3 linked regions of the Canis lupus familiaris genome follow. Each later gene encodes a partner of the first gene's protein in a complex. Links are inferred from orthologs where the notes say so. Each region holds a gene or a part of one and is shown in the gene's direction. Other genes may lie near its edges.

Region 1 (7,456 bases):
AGAAACAGCTTTATTCAGATATGACTGATTCAATCAACGCATATACTGTGATTTAAAGTGTATAATTTGGGGGCTCCTGGGTGACTCAGTTGGTTAAGTGACCAACTCTTGGTTTCAGCTCAGGTTTTGATCTCAGAGTCATGGGATTGAGCTCCACACTCAGCAGGGAGTCCTGAGATTCTCTCCCTCTCCCTCTGTTCCTCCCCTGCTTGTGTGAGCACTCTTTCTTTCAAATAAATCTTGTAAAAAATGTATTAAAAATAAGTGTACAATTTGGTAATATGTACAATTTGATATATGTATAAACCCAAGCAACTAGTACCACAATAAAGATAATGAATATATCTATCACCCCCAAAGTTTCCACATGCCCCTTTATAATCCTTCCCTCTGCCCTCACCCCATAGAGGTATTATTCTTAATTCTTCAAATAGGTCCTGTAATTCCTTATAAACACAAACTTGATTCTACTATTTTTGAATGTGGTCTTTTCTCCTGCTACATTTTAAAATTGGAAATTTAGGAAAGCTATTTCTCTAGCTACCTTATTAAGCTTTGTTTCAATTCAATTCATTCCTGTGGATGTTCCAAGTAAGCAATTCTAATATCTCAAAAGATTTTTTTTACCTTTTTCTTTCATATAAATGTATATATATTTACTGTTTTATTTTGTTTTTCTTTCCTGTGTCAGTTAGGACTTGGGGAAAATGTTGGCTGGTAGCAGTAGGCCTGCCCTGACAACTTCAGGGCTCCCAGGCATGAACACAAAGAGTTCCACACACTGTATGTTTAAATATTTAGAGATTATAAATCAAGCTAACAAACTCTTAGATTAAAAAGCTTTATCCTGCTACCTTGACACACCTCAGTTATAGCAAACATACATATAACAGTCCAGAAGGCTAGGTTCAAATTTAGAGTCCTTGAGTGCCACGTCTCCCTACAGTGGTTGAGGCAGGTTTTTAGAACTTATTTTGAATGACCTTCATTTCAAAAGATCTTGCTTAAGTGACCCTTGCATGGAAAACATTTTCCCATGGCATGGCTTAATACTTTAATTAATTTCTCTTATTAAAATTCAAAATTCCAAATCCTTTTATTCCCAGAATAAAACAAACAAACAGAACAACCTTCATTACACCCACAAAGAATCTCCAAGTTGCTTAGATTTGTTTTGTTTTTCTTTAGGTTAGAAATTGCCTATCAAGGCTTTCTCAGAGGCCCCTAATTTTGTCTATAATCTCCACCTCTTCTCCCACTCACTTGGGAAACCTTAAGACCTGAGTTTCCTGAGCTGTGGCCTGAACATCCTGATGACTGTCTGAGGATAATATTGTCAGGGGTCACATTCTAGACAGGTCATCTGAACATTCACAAACACTTAAGAAAGGCTGGGTCTGGAAGTTAGGTCATGGGACCCGGACAGAGCTTCAAAGCCAACCATCTGCTTGGTCATTGGTAGCAGCTGGTAACTGGAAGAGCTTGAGAGGGAAATTAGGAAACCCAGTGGAGTTCCCAGCTCTGTCACTAAGTAGCTGAACTGAGTGAGTCACTTAAAACTCTTTGTTTAACCTCAGCGTCATGATCTATAAAATTGGGATAAGGACAGTAGCATGGTCTCCCCCGGCTTTGATGGGAAGGAAAATCACAACTCATCCGAGCTTCAATTTCTGCACCTGTTACCAGTTGTTAAGATTTGCGTCCTGTCCATCTCACGAGGTTTGGGGGGGGGGGGGGGGTGCGGTGGTGAATGAGAGAAGGCACAACCTTTCGGAGTTTCAGTTTCTGCATGTGTAAAAAGCTCAGAATGCACGGCCAGCCTGCCCATAAAATTCCTGTTTAAACAGGAAAACAGGGCAGCCCGGGTGGCTCAGTGGTTTACCACCGCCTTCAGCCCAGGGCCTGATCCTGGAGACCCGGGATCGAGTCCCACGTCGGGCTCCCTGCATGGAGCCTGCTTCTCCCTCTGCCTGTGTCTCTGCCTCCTTTTGTCTCTGTGTCTCTCATGAATAAATAAATAAAATCTTAAAAAATAAAAAAAAGTAAACAGGAAAACAGACAGCAAACTTTGCAAAAATGTAGAAAGCTATGCGTGTGTGAATTACGTCCTACTGAAAAGACAACAAGCAGACCTAAGAGGTGATTGTAGGTCTCTTTCCTCCTGGCTCCAGGGCTGCAACCCCGCAAACAGACGCCAAGCCCACTTTCTTCAATCCTCCCCGCGGCCGGCAGCCGTCACGGCGTCGGCGGCCCCACCCGGCAGGGCTCCTGCGGGCCGGGAGGGGGCGTGGCCCGGGACCGCCCCGCCCCTCGCGACGCCCCGCCCCCTGGCGACGCCCCGCCCCGCCGCGCCCGCGCTTGCGCCGTGCACAGCCAGCGGCCTCGAGCGCCCCGGCGGGAGGTAAGGGGTTTGCGGGAGGCCGCCTCGGGGGCGTCAGGCCCGGACGGGCTTTGAGGGCCGGGCGCTGAGCCCGCGCGCCGCAGAGGCGCCCCCTGGGGAAGCCCGGCCTCAGGTCCCGCGTGCCCGCGCTTGGGAGGCTCCTCCCGGCTCCCCGAAGCGCCGGTTTCGTTTCTGGAAGCTCTTTGCGAAGCCGGTGTGGGGAGGCGGCCTCCCGGGGTCGCGGGGTGCGAAAGTTCCCTGCAGCTGCCGTGCCCGCGGCGCAGGCTGGGCCCGGGGCCGTCGGGGTCGCCCGGGTCGCCCGGGGGCGTGGTCCCAGGCCGCCCGCGCATCCGTTCTCTGGTTGGGGCGGCGGGGGTGGGGGGGGGCGCCGTGGGGCTCGGGGGCCCGCGAGGGGCGGAGGACCCGGACCCGGAGCCGGAGCCGGTGCTTCTGGAAGCTCCCGCAGCTGCGCCCTCGATAAGCCCGGCCTGGGAGGGCTCAGGCGGGAGACCCAGGGAGCAGCAGGGGCCGTGACCTTGCCTTCCAGAGTCCCCGGGTCAGGAGCTCGGGGAGGCCTGCCTGGGGCCCGTGTGGATCCCTGCCCTGGGAGGCGGCCGCTCGTCGCTCTGGGGGACGCCGAAGGTCGCTGGCACTTGGGGACTTTTTCTGAGAAATGGGGCTTTTTAACTTATACAGTAAATAGTCTAAATCATGTAGTAACCCCCCCCCCCCCCCCAGTACTTTTTTCTCACGGGAAACAGGAGTAGTCATGGTACCCAGGTGATGATAGTAGTCGTAAGCCCCGAAAAGGGTCAGGGTCGTTTGTAGAGCACCTGCCCCGCAGGCCCCCGCCAGTGTTAGTCTAAGTGACCCGTTTCCGGTGAAACATCAGACCTTCCTAGAGAGTCTTTTTATTCTTGAAATGATTTTCCAGTTACAGAGAGGTGGCAAAAGTAACAAAGGTCTCTGCAGCCCCCTTTAATGTTAACACCTTATATAACCATAAGTACAGTCATAAAAAATTATAAAGTATCATTGGTACGTTTTTTTGTTTTAAGATTTTATTTATTCATGAGAGACACACAGACATAGGCAGAGGGAAATAGCAAGGCTCCCGCCGGATTTGATCCCAGGACACCAGGACCACAACCTGAGTCAAAGGCAGACTCTGAGCCACCCAGGCGCCCCTCGTTGGTACAATTCTAGTGACCAAATTGCTACCTTTTTCTCGGATTTCCTGACTTTTTTATACTAATGTCCTTTTTTCCCCCCTATTTCAGGATCCAGTATAACATCCCACATTGCATTTAATTGGCATGGCTCTTTAGTCTTAAGTCTTTCCTAACCTTAACGCTTTTGAAGAATCCTGGTTAATTATTTAGCAGAGTGTCCCTCAGTTATGTTTTGTCTGGTATTTTCTTTTTCTTTTAAGATTTTATTTACTTATTCATGAGACATACAGGGAGAGAGAGAGAGACAGGCAGAGGGAGAAGCAGGCTCCATGCAGGGAGCCCAACGTGGGACTCGATTCCGGGTCTCCAGGATCAGGCCCTGGGCTGAAGGCGGCGCTAAACCACTGAGCCCCCCGGGCTGCCCCTTGTCTGGTATTTTCTTACAATTAAAGTTAGGCATTTTTAAAGTTATGCATTTTTGTTGATACCACAGAAGTGGATGTACCCTTCTCAGTCCATCCCACGAAGGGTTCATGTTATGACACACTGCTTTTGGTATTACTGTTGATCACTTGGTTGAGGTGTCTGCCAGGATTCTCTAATGTAAATTAACTGCTTTCCCCTTGAAATGAATGGATATCTTGAGTTTCTAAACTATGCAAATATGTTGTTCTCCTCAAACTTTCAGTTGCTGATTTTACCATCCATTGGTGGATCTTGCCTTCAGCAATGATTACTATTATGTTCTAATGGTGATTTTTTGTTTCCCCTCATTCCTTCTTTTATTTTTTTATTTAAGATTTTATTTATTTATTAACGAGAGACACAGAAAGAGAGAAGCAGAGACACAGGCAGAGGGAGAAGCAGGCCCCAGGCAGGGAGCCTGATGTGGGACTCGATCCCAGATCCCGGGATCACACCCTGAGCCAAAGGCAGGCACTCAACCGCTGAGCCACCCAGGCGTCCCCATTCCTTCTTTTATTAATTGGAGTTCTGTAAGGAAGGCTTGCCCCTTTCCATTTGTTTAGTCAGTTATTTTTTTATATAAGTATGAACTCATTTATTTTACTTTTTGGTTATTTTTGTTATTTATTTATGTCTCAGGTTGTTCCAGCCTTGGCCCTTGGGAGTTTTTTCAGGTTGCTTCCTTTTGACAGGCTTCCATCTCTCTTTGAGAACTTCCTTACTTTCTAGCACCATAAGATGTTCCACGTTTATCTTGCGTTTTCTCTGCCCCAGTCCTGGATCACCCACTTCTCCAAGGATCCGTGATTTCCTTTTTTGGAGAGTGGTATTTAAACACCAAGATCAGGGCACTTGGTGTGCTCATTGCTACTAGAATATTATTGTTTGTGGTTCTTTGCAGAAAACAGCTAGGACTATATGTAAATATATATTTTATTTTTATAAGTATTTTTCCTTTATATATAAATAAAATATATCATTCTATTTATTACTTATGTAATTATGAAAAATTAAGTATTATATTTTATTTATATCGTTTGTTATGTTTATTTGTAAATATATGTTTCTTAGCTATATACATATATATCCACATATTTCATGGATACACAAAGATTTGTTTTGTATTTAAGTGTGTCTATGTACTCACATCTGAGTATATATATTTTTAAAAAAACAAAAATTCATTCTGAGAGTTCCATTTGTAAACCTAAACCACAGGGTTCAGTCTACCCATGCCTCTTAATTGTTACTTCTTTCTTTGACAGAAATCTGATTTTCATGCTCTACAAAATATTCTCTTATTTCTTCAGTCCTGGTATACACATAAAGGATTTTCAGGATTTCTAACACATATTCCTATAAAAAATAAATTTTCTAATTAGAACATAGTAGAATCGTATATAGTTCTTATGGTCTTTAACCTTGTAGTATCCAGTTAGAATAGTGTTTTCCAGAGTTACTTAGGTTATTTTCTTCCTCTACTTTTAGTGCGGTTATGCTATTCATTGATAATATAGTTTCCTTTCTTATGGTTTGTGTTCCATTTTGTGTTCCTCCACATTTTTTGTTTTTTAATTTTCAAAAATTCATTCTTTGTAATGTGCAATTCCATGAGTTTTGACAAATGCATATAATTGTGTATCTACCACCACTGTCATGATATAAAACAACTATCACCCCAAATATTTCATTACACTTAAAAAAATATTACAAAGAAATCAACTCTACAAAAGTTTGGAAAATTAGGCATTTTTCTATGTTTTGTCTTTTTCATAAGCATATTTTACACAGTTGTGAAGTTAATGTAAATGTATTTTTTTATTTTTGTCATTTAATTATCAGAAGTATGTTCCAGTTTTTTGAAAAATCGAGATGGTGAAATACATTTACTTGTTGTTCAATTTTATTTTATTTTATTTTTTATTTTTTCAATTTTATTTTGAAACTATGTCTTGAATGTTGGATTATACTTTAACAACTTACAAACCATATTTGTGCTATTTTATGATTGGAGCCACTGCTGGACAACTTTCCATTTCAGTAACATCATGACTTTTTTTTAAAGATGTGATTTATTTATTCATGAGAGATACAGAGAGAGAGAGACAGAGAAGCAGGCTCCATGCAGGGAGCCCGATGTGGGACTTGATCCTGGGTCTCCAGGATCACGCTCTGGGCTGAAGGCAGGCACCAAACCGCTGAGCCACCCAGGTATCCCAGTAACATCATGACTTAAGCAATTATTTGAACAATATGTTCTCATTTTAGTTTCTGTAGACATTTTGTTGTAATTTATAAAAAATGGAAATGATGGAGAAGAGAAAAAAAATACCGGCCAAAAGGAGAACAAGAATTGGAAATGTATGTTGGGAGGTTCCTGGGGTGGAATGTCTTCCCTGATAGATGGTCTTTATGAGGCGGTTGGTTTTCCTTGGATAGAAAGCTGAAGAGCAGAATCATGCGTAACTCTGACCTAGAAATATCACTTCTGGAACTGGAAAAAATCTGTCATTGTAGCATAAGGAAACAGTGTCAAGTCAAACATCCAATAATCGGGGTTTTTTACATATACTATAAACTGATTAGTGGAGGAGAAAGGAGAATCATTAGAGTTGTATATAAAATGATACATAAATTTTAGAGGCAGATGGGATATAAAAGGGCATCTAAACAGAGGGAGCATCATAGCAAAGCCCAAAGTAGAAATTGGGTGATAATACTTAGATTGAACATTGTATTTTCTTGTTCAAATAATAGGGAATTCTTGGAAGTTTTTGTTCAGAGGAGAACGTTGCAATTGGTGTTCTAGAAATATTAATTGGTGGTAATCTGTGAGGAACAATTGGAGAGGGGAAAGAGTTTAAAGGGAAGCCAATTAAGACACTTGTAAGGTGCTGTGCATTGCACTGTTGGAGTGATGGGATTAGTAATAGTGAAGAAGGGACATGTGAAGAAATATTTTAGTTCCATCAGCACCTTTTGAGAACCAGTATTGTTAAAAAAAAAAAAAAAAAGGAATGGTGGTGGATAAAAACGTATCTTCATATAGTATATAATCTGCATGACAGAAAAAAAATACAAGCAATGTGATAAACTGGGAACATTGTGAGACAATCGGTAATTTATGAGTCTATTATATGTTGAATATAATAAGAAAAAGACATCCCCTGTAGTAAAATAGATATAGCACCAGCAGGCAATTCGTAAGAAGAAAGCAAATGGCTAATAAATCAATGCCACCAGTAATTTAAGGAATGTAAAATAAAACAATGAGACACCATTTTTGAAAGTTTAAGGAGAATATAGTACTATGTGTTGGTGGGAATATGGATATTTGGATATTTTGATATGTTGCTAGTGAATATAAACAGGAATGTAAACAGGGAATGTAAACAGGTACAACCTTTTGGGACACTTGGTCTCGAAAGCCATAAAAAAT
Region 2 (6,998 bases), on another chromosome or scaffold:
CCGGACACCTGGGTGGCTTAGTGGTTGAGTATCTGCCTTTGGCTCAGGACATGATCCCAGAGTCCCGGGATCGAGTCCCACATCGAGCTGCCTGCATGGAGCCTGCTTCTCCCTTTGCCTGTGTCTCTGCCTCTCCCTCTCTCTCTCTATCTCTCTCTCTCTCTCTCTCTCTATCTCTGTGTGTCTCTCATGAATAAATAAATAAAATCTTTAAAAAAACAAATAAGTAGGGCAGCCCCAGTAGCGCAGCAGTTTAGCGCCGCCTGCAGCCTGGGGTGTGATCCTGGAGACCCGGGATCGAGTTCCACGTTGGGCTTCCTGTATGGAGCCTGCTTCTCCCTCTGCCTGTGTCTCTGCCCCCCACCCCCTCTCTCTCTATGAATAAATAAAATCTGTAAAATAAAAAAATAAATAATGAATTAATAAATAAGTAAATCTCCGTATACCTATAGCTTGTCCTTTGCTGTCCCAAGTGCCAGCACACTCCCTGAGGCCTGGGATGACCTCACAGATTTTACTCTCCATGGAACGCAAGGTTAGGGGTTTTAATAAATTCAAGAAGCATAGAGCTGAAGACAATTTTTAAAAAACAGATTCTGCTTACATTTGTGGTGTTAGTGCCAAGTATTTGTGTATTCTGACCTTTCTTAATGTTTTATCTTTAATTCACAAGGTTTATGAAGCACCTCCCCTTCTCTCTTCCCTCTGGCTTTTTCTTGGCCTACTGCACCTAGTAAAAGGGCAGAAGGCAGCTGTGGGCATGCACCCCACTCCCACTGCGTACAAGTACATACATAGGTACACATACACACACGTGCACGCGCACGCACTGTCATGAAGCCTGAGAACTGACCGAATCAGTTAAGTCAAGACTCACCTCTGCAGTTGGCTCAGCCCAATGAGGGGACCCCAGAGTGCCTGCAGCATGTCTCTTCCCTCCATTGACTCTGGTTCTCTTTATGTCACCTCTGCTTGGTACTCCCTCCACATACTCTAAGACCAATCATGTCCTTACAGGTGTTATTCCTCTTAAAAAATGGATGTGATCAAAAAAAAAAAATGGATGTGATCATTGACTTTTAACACTTTTTGAAACAAAGGGAAAATACTTATTACAAAGAGTGGGAAAGCCAACCGAGGGAACTAGAATGAGCTCAGAAGGGACCTGGCACCAGAGTGGCTAGTTGTGGCAGGGCTGCTCCCCAGTGGCCTTCCTTTCAAAGGCAGTCTCCCTCAGCTGTGATCTGGGAGCACGGATCAGAAGAGGGCCCGCCCGGATTTTTAACTCAGACCCAGTGGGACTGACCTGGGTTTCTCCCCAGCCCGCACTTGTCCTGCACGGAAGTGGAACTCTCACCCCTCATGTTTGAACTTGAATATCAGCAGGAATGATGTAACCTATCGCTAGGGCTGAAACTTTGCCAAAAGTCTGTGCCCCACTGTCCCCTGGGGCTTGCCCCAGAGGGCATTACTAAAGGGACCCAGCACCTTTAGCCCTTAGTTCCTTTTGACATGGGGACCCTGGACTACAGACATCTCCGTACCCAGCTAGCCACCAAGTGGGCAAAGGAAATGGTGCCAGCCAGATTCAGGTTGTGTCATACCCCAGGACATTCGCAGCATTGATGTGTGCATGGATCTGAGAAGTGGTAGCAATGAATGAATTGATGTAGGAAAATGTGAATTATCATAACATAGGTGACAGGACCTCATAGCATTTGGATGGAGTGGAACCATCTGTAGTTCATGTATTTTCTGGGAGAGCGCCCCAGGTGGCAAGGTAGGGACAAAGCACCTATTTCTCATGCCACCTGCAGAGTGGAAGAGGGGGTGGGATGTGGCCTTCTCCAAGGTGGGAGCCTGGAGCAGGAGCAACCAGGTGCAGGGGCTTCCAGGTCTGTCTCCCAGATGTGTTTCCAAATAGGTATTCTCATACTTGTTACTCTGAATCTGTGCTTGATCCAGCTTTAGGGGGCTGGAGATGGAAGGAAGAAAACCGGGCACTGTTGAGTTCTACCCACTGACATGAGGTTTTTGCTCCTGAAGAGCACGGCAGCAGGTCTGGCTGTTGGTTACCTGCATACTTCTTCCAGATACTCACTATGGGGTCTGGGAAGGGAGTGTTTTCTAAGCCTCTACGTACTTCTCTCTTTCTCAGGTACTAACTGATCTTGCAATGTGCCTCCACCTATTAGAACGTTCAGAGGCACCCAAAACATGATGTAGATCTGTATGTATTTTTTAAAGCACTAGAAGGACAAACATCATTGTATGAATAGTGATGATCCTGAGCAGACATCTAGGGGAAAAGTGGCTTTTACATTAAGCACATATTACTTTATGTGGAGTCAGCTGGTTTGCTTTTTACTTGCATGAATTTTGGAAAATGTAACCAAAGCCCTAGAGTTCTCCTTGTCTTTTGAGAAAGAGCACTCAGTGATGTGCATGTTGCAGAGCACCGGGCACGGAACAAGCAGAGGCCCCTGCTGCTGTGACTTCACTCAGCCCTGTATGTCCTTTCCCTCTCCCACAGATGAGCTGTCCGTGGGACTAGGCCGGCTGAAGGACATAGCCCTGGGGATGCAGACAGAAATTGAGGAGCAAGATGACATTCTTGACCGCCTCACAACCAAAGTGGACAAGTTAGATGTCAATATAAAAAGCACAGAAAGAAAAGTTAGGCAACTTTAAACACCGAGAAGGCTCTCCACCCCATTGTGATGAAACGAGCCAAAAAATCTCCTGTTAAACTTCCCAAAATTTAATTTCTGTTGTTTTAGTGTGTAACGTAATATGTGTTTGCAAATGTTATAATTATAGAGCGAGTTGAGTCCTTGGAGATGTCATGATGAGAAATGTGTATCCTACTTTTTTTAGAGCTCTCACCTCTCCATTGTCTGAACTGAATGCTTAGAGTCTTAATCTGAGCACGACAGCCTGGCCCTGAGTATTTTGGGCCTTCGATGACCTTGCTGACACCAGAAGAACAGTTGCATTTCTCACTTTAACGAGCATATGGAAAGACATGGGCAGAATTTCAATCCTGGAACCACCAATCTCTGTGGTGGTGTTGTGAGGGTGGTCCTTCCCACATCTTGGCTTACCAGTCACCATTCTCCCACCCCCACCCCAACACACATACACACATACACTGAGCACATTGCGATTCTCTCAAACCCCAGAAAAGGATCAATGTTCAGAAATGGAAAGTGCCAGCGTTTGCTATTTGGTTGACAGATGTCACCTCTTCCCTCCTGGCCTCCATCCTTGGCATGCATTTTAGTAGAAAGGGTTCAGATCAGCACCACTCACCGTGATGCCTGGAGATGCACAGGGAATTGGGTGAGCCCTGCTTCCCTGTGCACTCTCACCTCTAAGTCACTGACTGAGGTTAGGGACAGATGCACCATTGTCTCAAGGCTGCCCAGCTGGCCAGTTGGGGGCCCTCTACAGTTTGTGAGAATGGAGCATCATACAGTGCTTACCCTGTGTGCTCCTCCCCAGAGCACCTGACCCAGCCTCGGGGATGGCAGTGTTTATTCAACGCCTGGGGTCTCCTGGCCCATTTAGGATTCCCACCCATTCCTCTTGACCTCTTGCAACATGACTTGACTCAGCTCTTGGTTCTCCGCCACCCAGTTGGAGGACTGGAGTGCCACAAATGATGCAGACTTGTCTAGAACAACTTAGCTTTAAAAATAAAAGCCTAGACATTATCATTTTAACTAGCCTAGCTTGTTCTACACAAAAACATTAATCTCATTACAGAAATCAATTTTAATTAATGCTTTTAAGTGATTCTTTCTTTGTAAAGTGACATTCATTAAAATTGATTTCTGTAACGAGATTAGCGCCTTTGTGTTGGTACCTCCAGCAGAGTAATTGAAGCCGCAAGACCCTTGTCTTTTTAAAAAAGCAAATTAATTGAAATATTTTGAAGACCGTAAAAGGCGCTGATTTTAATAAAATAGGCTAGGTCAGAAAATTTAAAACAAGTGTGTTTCACCTCAACACATGGTGCTGTCTATGGGACCTTCACCACTTTGGTTCTGTAGCCTATAAAGAAAGCCCCCTGAAGGAAAAGAAATCTCTGCAGTGCTGCAACAGTGCATCCATATTTTTGTAGCAATTCATTTGTAGTAGTTCCATTCCATGCTGCATGGCATTCCTAAAAACACTTGACAGCTTCCGTCAGTAGATACAACCTTCTGTCATGTTCCAGCCAACTCATGGAATCTGATCAACGTCATTATGAATATCCCAGTATGTGAGAATACGATTAGAGGTAGTCAAATTAGGCATTTATCAGATGAGCTCATCGTGATTATTCTCTTGATAAATGGTAAAAGGAAAAGTTTTAAACACCTACCTAGCCCAAACAAAATGAGTTCGGAGGGCTTTTAGCAAAAAAGGCTGCTGACAAGCATGAAGCCAGAATGCAGAGCAGCCTGTGTGTACATTTCCACTCCTAATTGTTTCTTTTTTTTTTTTCTAACACCTTCCACGTATGTCATGATGGCTGTTTCTGTTCGTCATCATCAGGCAGAGAGACTCATGGAGATTAGTCATTATACCTCAGATGCAAGCTTATTTTTTTTTCAAACAAATTATACATGTAAAGGCCACTGCCAAATATTCTTTTCCCCAGCCTTCCATTTGCGTAATGAGATTAGTGATTTCACTGACTTGAAGGAAAGTGGCGTGGAATATTATACCCTTTCCCTGTCTTTTGTTAGAACATTGAAGCCAGTTGCCCCGTTTTTTCTCCCCTCTCCAAGCATATAGAAGGAAAGCACAGCCACTTTTCTAGAAATGTGTCTTCTGACACTTTACATGTGTATATTAACTCTTGTTTAGACCCTCTTACACTAAGGCCCTGACCAGGGAACTGTCTCCAAGCTACGCACTGGGAGCTCCTTTCTGCTGGGTCTTCCCCCTTGCCCTCCGGCTCATGAAGGACCAGTGGTTGATTCTACCTTATAAAGCAAAGTTGCTTGCATTTTCAGAGAACAAAGAGAAACCCGGAGCTTCCAGAATCTTTGCACATGATGATTATGATCAAAAAACATTCTATCCTCTAGACTAGACACATCTGTCTCATGGAGACACTCAGAGATGCGTGGGCTGGAGTGAATTCACCCTTCTTGCCAGATGGGGTCTATAAGACAGGCTTTTATTTCCACAGTTGAGCTGGAAACAAACTGTGCCTTCAAAAAGTGGCTTTTCTAACTTTAGGTTGGTTTTATGTGAAGCGTGCTACTAACTTAAAAATAAGTGCATTCTCTTTCAGAGGAAACATTCTCACATCTAGTGATCTGGAGTTAACATTGTCTTTTTTGCATTCTGAAGGAAAGGAGCCCTGAATTTAACTCAGGTGGCAAGAAAAAAATTCTTAAGTGTATTTTAATTTATCTTTCTCTAACTTCTGTTTGTGAATATGTAATTTTAAGGGTGCACTACACCAATTTAGTAAAAAAAAAAAAAACTCTTACACTTTGCCTATATAGGCCTTTTCTCAGAATTTGTAAGTTATCACCATTGTTAGCATCTTCAGCTCTGATAATGAAATGTCTTGTGTACAGAATGATGAGCCAGTCATCAAAAGTGCTCGGAGCGGCAGGGGGGCATTTTGTTCAGAGTCTGTATCAGAATAGCTCTTAAGCTCCATGCCTTCAACTCAACAAGTGACCATATTCTGTAAAATAAAATGTGAAGTTTTTTAAATCAAATTCTGTCTCCTGTGTAGTCATTTTCAAAGAGTGGATGGAAGGGCTCCTCCATGTTGAGTCTTCGTATATTTGGTCCTCATTGCCCCATCAAACCCTATGAATAAGCTTCCTTCTCGAAGCCCTCTCATTTCATCTTTCAGAGTGCTCTTCCAATCTGTCTCCTATCTCCCTGACCACAGTGCAGCACTGTCTCGATAAGGGCTCAGCAAACAATAAAGGGCCAAAGAGTAAATGTTAGGCTCATGGGCCAATCTGTCGCAACTACTCAGCTCCTCCATCGTAGCAAAAAAGCAGCCAAAGGCAATATATAAATGAGAATGGTGTGTTCTAATAAAGCTTTATTTATGGACACTGAAATTTAAATTTTATATATTTTCACATGTCACAAAAATCTGATAATTTTTTTTTTCAATCACTTAAAAATACAAAAACCACTTAGCTCATGGGAAGTACAAAACATGGTGGACTGCACTTGACCCATGGGCCTTAATAGTTGGCCATCCCATTTAAACTACCACAAGGTATTCCTAGGGGCGGGAGGATGAAGGATGGCTGGCCACTATATTCTGCAAGTGGATCTCCTCAGGCTTCTGGCCCTTCTAAACATCATAGTTCACCAAGAAAGGAGAACAGGCTAGCCTAACCTTGGCTCCACTGTCTTGCCTCTGCCTTCACATCTGACCACAGGAGTAGAAATTGTTTCTAGATCTGAAAGCTCTAAAAAGGCACGGAGGGATCCCTGGGTGGCTCAGCGATTTAGCACCTGCCTTTGACCCAGGGCATGATCCTGGACTCCCGGGATCAAGTCCTACATCAGGATTCCTGCATGGAGCCTAGCCTGCTTCTCCCTCGGCCTATGTCTCTGCATCTCTTTCTGTGTGTGTGTGTCTCTCATGAATAAATAAAATCTTTAAAAAAAAAAAAGGCACCTGGAGCTTAGACCATCTTGAAAATCTTATCTGTCAGTAGACTGGCTTCGTGGATCCCAAAGACCACCCTGATTTCGTGGATATCATCTTTGAGCATCATTATAGATAAGGAATAGTGAGGATCTGAACTTAGCAGCAGACTTTTCTGGGAAGACAAGGAACAGATATTACATAGAAACAAAAGCAAAAAAATCAAGGTGGTTCACATTTGGGAGCTCCAAGTAAAAGAACGTCTAGAGTTTGAAATCTGGGTGGGTGAGGACATGAGGAAGGTAGTAAGATCCCAAATGATGGGCCTTATGGGCTATATCAAGGAGTCAGAGAACACTGACCTCCATGA
Region 3 (7,595 bases), on another chromosome or scaffold:
TACTGGTGCTCCTAGAGGGAAGTGGCCTGCCCAAGTCTATATAGCCAGGGAATAGTGGAGCTGATACCCAAATCTTCTGATCACACAGGCACTGAGAACACTCTTCATCACATCATGATTGCTTCTTTAGTACAACTCTTACCATCTAGCATTTTTCTTTGCAAAGTGACTGCTACTCCATTTCTCCTGGGATAGAGCCTTCCTTGACTGCAAAGGAATCGATGACTTATTTCTCTTCTCGTACCCTGCCCATAGTACCATTTCTTTCTTTCTTTCTTTCTTTCTTTCTTTCTTTCTTTCTTTCTTTCTTTCTTTCTTTCTTTCTTTCTTTCTTTCTTTTCTTTCTTTCAGATTGATTGATTGATTGGTTTATGATAGACATAGAGAGAGAGAGAGAGGCAGAGACACAGGAGGGAGAAGCAAGAAGCAGGCTCCATACTGGGAGCCTGACGCAGGACTCGATCCCGGGACTCCAGGATCGCGCTCTGGGCCAAAGGCAGATGCTAAACCACTGAGCCACTCAGGGATCCCCTCTTTCTTTTTTTTAAAGTAAGTTCTAGGCCAAACATGGCTTTAATTCACCACACCAAGATCAAGAGTTACATGCTCTTCTAACTGAGCCAGCCATGCACCCCCCATAGTACCATTTCTGCTCACAGTTCATTGTTTGGTACTTTACTGAATGTCTCATCTTCTGAGGGCATTAGCAAGGTGGTCTTTTGACAAAGGATAGAATTGTGATGTTCCTACAGGAGAGGCCAAGACTGCAGGGGCTCTGCATGGTGAAGAGGAGGGGGAGCACGTTGCAGTCCCAACTGTGGGTGCTGGAAAATCTCCCCAGTGGTTTCTGGGCCTAGGCCAAGGGTCAGCTCCCCCAGGGACACCAATGTATGTCCAAAGCTGCCAGCAGCATGCTAGAGCCTGGTCACTCCTCAAATCTTGTAACCCTGATTTCTTTCTTTCTTTTTTTTCTTTTCAAGATGTTATTTATTTATCCATGAGAAATACAGAGAGAGAGGCAGAAAAATAGGCAGAGGGAGAAGCAGACTTCCTGCAGGGAGCCCAATGTGGAACTTGATTCCAGAGCCCAGGATCACACCCTCAGCTGAGGGCAGACGCTCAACCGCTGAGCCACCCAGGCATTCCTGTAACCCTAATTTCTATTCTGGAAATCCTCCTCCATGTCTTTATGCTCTCCTCAGACATCCTACTTTGTTTCTTGGCACCTATCCTATGTCCCTACCCACCACTGCACTTAGCATCTGGAATCATTAATAATAGTAATCATAATAGCCACCATTTACTGAGGGTTGTTTCAGTGCCAGGCATAGATGGTGAGGTAACTGAGGTTTATAGATGTCACATCAGTCTGTCCAAGGTCACATGAATATTAATGCATAGATCAGTGTGTCTTATAATGGAAATATAATTTGAGCCACATTTGTAATTTTTAATTTTCTACTCATCAAATTAAAAGAAACAGGTGAAATGAGCATTAACAATTTTTAAAATTTAACTCAATAAATCCACAACATCATTTCAACATGTTATCAGTATCAGTTAAGTGTCTGCCTTCAGCTCAGGGCATGATCCTGGGGTCCTGGGATTGAGCCTGGATTGTGCTCCCGGCTTCTCCCTTTCCCTCTGCCCTTTCCCCTGCCTCATGCTCTTTCTCTCAAGTAAGTAAATTAAAAAAAAAAAAGTCTTTGAAATACTTGGGGTGCCTGGATGGCTCAGTGGGTTGAGCATCCCACTCTTGATTTCAGCTCAGATCACTGATCTCAGGGTTTTGAGACTGAGCCCAGTGCAGGGTTCCATACTCAGAGAGCAGTCTACTTGAGATTCTCTCTCCTTCTGCCTCTGCCCTTCCCCTCCTGATGTATGTGTGCCTGTGCTCTCTCTCTCAAATGAATAAATAGATAAATCTTTTAAAAAAAGAAATACTGTGTGTACTCTTACATCACTTCTCAATTCAGACTAGCCACAGTTTAAGTGCTCAGCAGCCATATATGGTCAGTGGCTATGGTAATGGACAGCATAAGTACAGATCAAGGATTCTGACCCATCTCCACTTGACCTCTTTATAGATTTTCTTTTTTTTTTTTTTTCTTCTTTATAGATTTTCTAAGGATGATGAGAAGTGAGACAGCCACATTCTCTGTGAAAGTAGGCTGGTACTGTCCATCAAATTTCAGATTTGCAAAATATAATAATCTTATTTAATTGGAGATAAGATTTCATTATAAAGTAGAATAAAGTATCTCAAAACAGAGGTCCAGAAATTGTCATTTCCTTTAACAAAATATGTGTTAGAGAAACTGACATTTCTCTCTTAGAACTAATAATACTAAAAAAAAAAAAAAAAAAAAAAGAACTAATAATACTTCTGGGATGGGACAGGAATGTTTGTTCTCTTTTGCCTGTCCCTGTTTTTGTTCTGTCTTGATAAATACCATCTGGGAAGACTAGATATTCTGTGGCCTGGAACCAGGTGGTGGAAAAATCCTTTGCCTGGGGCCCTTCTCTTGTCCATAGGGCAGGCCTCTGACCATTTCTGAGTAGGCTCACCAACCCCTCAAAGCGGCTTCTGAAGGAAATGTTGAACTCTGGAAGGGAAGAAGGGATTGGTAAGCCATCATTCCCTCGTCCCAACAGTGGACAGGTCTTCCTTTCAGAAACTGTGGCAGGCACACTGAGTGTGCTATCCTGTTATACGTCCCCACCATCCTCTGAGGTCAGCATTAGCACCTGCCAAAACCAGAGAGGTGAAGAATTTCACTCAGGGTCACACTAGTAATCCGGAGCTTTCTGACACCACAGCCTAGGATTACAGCACTCCAGACTTGGGGGGATTTTAATACTTTCTGTCCACCCCTGAACATGGGAACAGGGGTTGCTAGCAAGAAACTTTCATATCTGTGTTCTGTTTCCATGTGAACTACCCCTGGTGGTGTACTTAGAGTTGACTTCAGTGTTTAAGATTTGGAGTCAGATATTCAGGACATTAAAAAAAAGGGGGGGGGGCGGAGCCAGCTTCCCTATCTATATCAGGAGGTCCAGCCTCAGGAAACCTAGGAGGGCTGCTTGATCTTCTTTTTCTTTTTCTTTTTTTTTTTTCTGGTTCTGATGCGTTAGAAGATCTCTGGTGATCGAGCCCTGTTGCTTTAAGCCCGAGCCCAGGTTTGGGAGGAGACTGGGAGGGCAGCGGAGGGCGCCCGCCTACCTGCCGGCCCGCGCTAGGTGAGGCTGGAGCCGCTCGGGATGCCGGCGGGCGGGGGCAGGCTCGAAGTTGGAGCGAGCAGGAAGTGAAGCGAGGGCCGCCCGGGAGGAAACAGACGAGGGAGTCTCGCCGCCGCCAGGCCCGAGCCGCTTGGAGACATGGTGAGCGCGCTGGGAGCTCGCGAGGGGCTGAGCGAAAGGCGAGCGGGGGCTGGGGGCGGGGGGCTGGGGGCGGGGGTCGCAGGGCCGCTGGCCAAGTCGGAGGGCTGGCCCGGTGCAGCCGGTGGCCGCTCTCCTTTGACAACTTGGCTGCCCGGGCGGCTGCCCCCGCGCCTTCTCCCTCCCCTGCCCTCGGAGCTGGCCCGGAGCGGGGCTCCGGTGGGGGTGGAGGCTCCGAATTCCAGGCCGGGAGCCGCTGAGAGGCCCTTCCTGGCCTCCTCCGGCCCGCCGGGCGCCGAGCCCGGTGACCCCCCTTGGGCAGCGCCTCCGAAGTTCCCAGGGCGGATTCCAGCCCAGCGGCGGGAGCCCTCCCCGTCGGCCCTTCCCTTTATCCTGTCGAGAAACTCCAAGAATCCGTCTCTCTCTGCCCGGCCTAAGGAATCGGGCCCCTCTCTTTAAACACGGAGAAGAAGGCGAAGGGTTTGTAAAAGAACCAGAAGTTGGTTCTCTGTGACAATCCGTCTAGTTTGGACCGGCTCCTGGCCTGTTTCGGAGGTCTAGGGGGTCAGGGAGGGAGGAGCCTAGTAATGGTTTGCCCTCCCTGTTCAAAAACTTTATCAGCCAGGGAGGACTTGCCCTCCATTTCCCTCAACAGCCAGTCTGCTGTTTTTATTTAATATCTGCTTAAGGAGGCAGTGGCAGCTTGGTTGGTGCCGGCACATGGGGCAGTGTGTTGGGGGAAAGCAGAAGTTTATGGCGCAATGGCTCTCCCTCTTGGGGCCTGGCCAGGGCCTTGGAACCCGGTGGCTGTTGCTCTGGGTCACAGCAATTAGGCAGCTCCGGAGGTCTGGGGAAGTCTGGGGCGGGAGCAGCTCTCCAGCTGCTGTCCAGCAGTGAGGGGGGTGTTGTGGCAGCTGAGGGTGTTCTGCTGGCCAGCACAGATATTTTCAATGAGGATCCTTCGGTTAATAGTGGTGGGTTTCCCCCTTGTGAGATGCCAGCTCAGCAGTTCTCTGCCCCCATCTGAGGAGCAAGGCAACAGTGGAGTGGGATTTAGGGTCTGTGTTTCTTTTCCTCCTCAGGGGCCCTGAGAACCTGAAAAGAAACTGGATCTAGTCTGTCTAGCATCAGCACTCACCTTCTGGGGCTTAAAAGTGCATTTGTTTTTGATCACATGAGTAATACATGAAAACATTCTTTGTAAACAGTTCAAGCATTAAAAAAAAGCTAAAGTCCACCTTAGGCCTTCCCCTCCCCTGGCCTCTGAGGCTGAGTCTCAGTTCCTCCACCACTTCGCCTAATTAACCCCTGCGTTGCTGCCCAGGAGGAGGCCAGTGGAGGTGTTGGAAATGATCGTGTGCGGAACCTGCAGAGTGAGGTGGAGGGAGTCAAGAATATTATGACCCAGAATGTGGAGCGGATCTTGGCCCGAGGAGAAAACCTGGACCATCTCCGCAACAAGACAGAGGATCTGGAAGCCACAGTGAGATGGGGAACCCACAGAGGTTGGGAGCAGGGCGGCTGGGAGCTGGGCAGTAGAGGAAGAGAGGGAGGGTGAATTGCTGGGGCTCGGGGAATTGGTGGTGCTGGGGGCAAAATGAATAGGAGGGAAGTCTGCCTTTTCACTTGTTTTGGGAATTGACAAGTGAGCCCCCTGTTTTGATTCTGCTCTACTCCACTATTTGGTACTGGGGTCCAGGAAATGGCTCCAGTGACTGGGTGGGTGGGTGGGTGGGTGGGGCTGATTCTTGGAGGCCTTGTCTGAGACAGAAAGGTAGATGGCCCAGTCAGCCCTCACATTCTTAGGCTTCCCTCCCATGAAACTGATGTTTCCCTTTGAAGATTGCCCTTGACAATCATTTGGACCTGACCTCCCTAAGCCAAAAATATTGGCTCCGGAAAATACTCCTAGGGCCTTTGGCCTTCTTGAGGAGTCACTAGGCAGGGGGTGGAAAACTGCTAGAGTTTTGCTGAGTCTGCTTTAAAAAGAAGCTGGGAAGAGCAGTGAAATTCTTTGATCAGGGGGTCCTCTGCTAGCTGAAGGCTAGAATAATATCTCCCACACATCTTGCTAGACCTCATTCCTTTCTCTCTCCAGCCATGGGCTGAAGCCAGCTGCTCAGGGATGGAGTAACTCTAACAAAATACTCCAGCAAAGGTTGGGGCCTAAGGTTCTTTGTCCACAGGGAGAGACTGGCTGTGGCTTTCCAAGTCTTGTGCATAAGCTTGGGTCTAGTTTCCCTGGGACTTAGTGTTTCTTTCCGCAGCCTAATCTGAGGAGCATGGCCCAGGGAAAGTTAATTTCTACAATTCCAGTTGAGGAGGAAGAGCAGTTTCTCTTACCTCTGACGTCTGTACTGCCCTGGTCTGTCCTCTAGCCTCAGAGGTCCCCATAGGGCACGGAGTCAGAGTCCCAGGGAGATGTGCCCACTTGGAGCTTGCACCCGTTCGCCCCAGTGTGTGCTCTCCCAAGGGCGGATTGTGCAGACAGTGTTGCACTTCTGGGTGTGAGCATATGTAAAAGGCCCCTCAGTGTACATGACGGTGCATGGGTAAGAAGAGAGGAGGGGAGGCAAGAATTTAGAATTCTAAATTTGAATCTGGCCCATCAGATTGTCATGAAGGTATATTTGTCAGGGTAGGAGGACAGAACATTTTTTGTGTAACGGTCTGTTCCCTCAACTGTTCACTTCAACATTTACATGTATAGCATGTGGGCCTCTGTCTTCTTATTCTGGTGGGAGGAGGCACTGGTTCACTCTGCCTTGTCCTCAACAGTCGGAGCACTTCAAGACCACATCACAGAAGGTGGCTCGGAAGTTCTGGTGGAAGAACGTGAAGATGATTGTCCTCATCTGCGTGATTGTTTTTATCATCATCCTCTTCATCGTGCTTTTCGCCACCCATGCCATCCCCACATAGGGAGCCCCTCCCCCCACCCACCCTCTTCTTTAGGGCAACCCTCCATAGCAGGTGCCAAGAAGGGCCCTCTCTTCCATCCTTGTCTGCAGGAAGTGCTGCTGCGTCCTCCTGCCCCTCATTCTGAGGCCCCTCTGCCACACTGTCTGCCCCAGGCACCTTGGTCCCCCGGAAGGAGAGAGTTGGACTGTGGCTGTTTCATGGGCCCTCAGAGTTGGTTGGAGAGATATCCAGAAGGCCCAGCATGGGGCTAGGACACTGATGGTGGCCGGTGGGCAATAAAGACCTTTCAGTATCCCTTCACATGTGAGGTAATTTGTCCCCTTCCATTTTTGCCTTTGGTCCTTCTATTTCTATTCTCCCTGGGGACAGCTTCTGGCTGAGATTCTCCTATTTGAGGCCCCATTGTTGGAGGGGTAGAAAGTGTATGTTTGGAGAAGAAAGATGGAGTCTCCCCATTCTTCTCTATTTTCCATTCATTGTGACAGGTCTCAAGAACCAGAGTTTTCTGAGGGTTTCCACATATGGAAAATTCAAAACCATTTTAGGGTGGTACACAAGACTCCTAAGGGCTTGAGCCTTGCCATGTGCCTTTATTACTTTTCTACTAGAAGTGTTAGCCAAGACAGGCTGAGGACCTCCTTTCATCTCTTTTCTATGGCCCTGGTGCAGTCTAGAGCAAGGTGCTAGAGGAACTGGGCCACTTTTCCTTCTTTTTGGTTCTGCAAAGTTCTTTTGTTTATTTTTTTAATTTAAGTAATCTCTCTACCCAATATGGGGCTCGAACTCATGACCCTGAATTCAAGAGTCACATGCTCTTCTGACTGAGCCAGCCAGGCACCCCTGGTTCTCAAAGTTCTATTTGTCTTTTGTCTGCCCTTTTGGGACTTAGCAGGGCCTCCGGGTCTCAGCTGAGAGGGTGAGCATCTCTCACCATATCTTGTGGCTGGGCTCAGTCAGTGTCACAGGACAGGGCCTATGGCCCTCCTTCCCCTCCATGTACAATGGGCTTCTTTGTCTTCGGTCTTCCCTTCTCCCTGCCAGGTTCCACCTCATTGTCACTCTTTCCTGTCTTGGTTTGGGGAAAGGGTTCTTGCCATCTCTGTCCCTGTTTCTCCCATGGGCTTTCCGGTATTGAAAACAATCTGTTTTGGGGGTGGGGGGGAGTGTGGAAGGGACAGGGTTGGAAGACAGGATTTGGGACTCCTCCTGGCAAGTCAGGTTCTGGAATCATATTCAGAGAACCAGGGAGGGAAAAAAAAAAAAAAAGCATAGAAAAGCCCTCAGGCCAATCTTTG

What was found.
Region 2: the proteins of STX17 (region 1) and SNAP29 are in contact, whole or in part, in a crystal structure (PDB 4WY4), measured with the Homo sapiens proteins. The link is inferred for Canis lupus familiaris from reciprocal best matches to the Homo sapiens genes STX17 and SNAP29. Residues at the interface, in NP_060389.2 of Homo sapiens: Glu170, Trp172, Glu173, Leu175, Glu176, Leu179, Ile180, Ser183, Val186, Thr187, Phe189, Ser190, Val193, Asn194, Gln196, Gln197, Ile200, Ile203, Ala204, Val207, Asn208, Ala210, Ala211, Val214, Glu215, Thr218, Leu221, Gly222, Ala224, Ala225; in NP_004773.1 of Homo sapiens: Arg52, Thr56, Ser59, Thr60, Arg62, Ser63, Leu66, Glu69, Ser70, Val73, Gly74, Ser77, Glu80, Leu81, Gln84, Val87, Leu88, Thr91, Met94, Val95, Lys97, Met98, Asp101, Leu102, Ile104, Ser105, His108, Ile109, Ser111, Ile112.
Region 3: the proteins of STX17 (region 1) and VAMP8 are in contact, whole or in part, in a crystal structure (PDB 7BV6), measured with the Homo sapiens proteins. The link is inferred for Canis lupus familiaris from reciprocal best matches to the Homo sapiens genes STX17 and VAMP8. Residues at the interface, in NP_060389.2 of Homo sapiens: Ser171, Trp172, Thr174, Leu175, Asp178, Leu179, Glu181, Leu182, Leu185, Val186, Phe189, Leu192, Val193, Gln196, Glu198, Lys199, Ile200, Ser202, Ile203, His206, Val207, Ser209, Ala210, Asn213, Val214, Glu216, Gly217, Thr218, Asn220, Leu221; in NP_003752.2 of Homo sapiens: Gly9, Val13, Leu16, Gln17, Val20, Glu21, Val23, Lys24, Met27, Thr28, Asn30, Val31, Ile34, Leu35, Arg37, Gly38, Leu41, Glu42, Leu44, Arg45, Thr48, Glu49, Leu51, Glu52, Ser55, Glu56, Phe58, Lys59, Ser62, Gln63.

What each region holds. Positions count from the first base shown.
Region 1 is NC_049232.1:57,221,033-57,228,488, forward strand, and holds the start of STX17 (syntaxin-17), read left to right. Parts: upstream 1-2,335; 5' UTR 2,336-2,401; intron 2,402-6,207; exon of another isoform or gene 6,208-6,228; intron 6,229-7,456. UniProt on the Homo sapiens protein: SNAREs, soluble N-ethylmaleimide-sensitive factor-attachment protein receptors, are essential proteins for fusion of cellular membranes.
Region 2 is NC_049247.1:30,772,985-30,779,982, reverse strand, and holds the end of SNAP29 (synaptosomal-associated protein 29), read left to right. Parts: intron 1-2,533; coding exon 2,534-2,691; 3' UTR 2,692-5,729; downstream 5,730-6,998. UniProt on the Homo sapiens protein: SNAREs, soluble N-ethylmaleimide-sensitive factor-attachment protein receptors, are essential proteins for fusion of cellular membranes.
Region 3 is NC_049238.1:39,844,448-39,852,042, reverse strand, and holds VAMP8 (vesicle-associated membrane protein 8), read left to right. Parts: upstream 1-2,496; 5' UTR 2,497-2,627; intron 2,628-3,135; 5' UTR 3,136-3,378; coding exon 3,379-3,381; intron 3,382-4,702; coding exon 4,703-4,861; intron 4,862-6,156; coding exon 6,157-6,300; 3' UTR 6,301-6,600; downstream 6,601-7,595. UniProt on the Homo sapiens protein: SNAREs, soluble N-ethylmaleimide-sensitive factor-attachment protein receptors, are essential proteins for fusion of cellular membranes.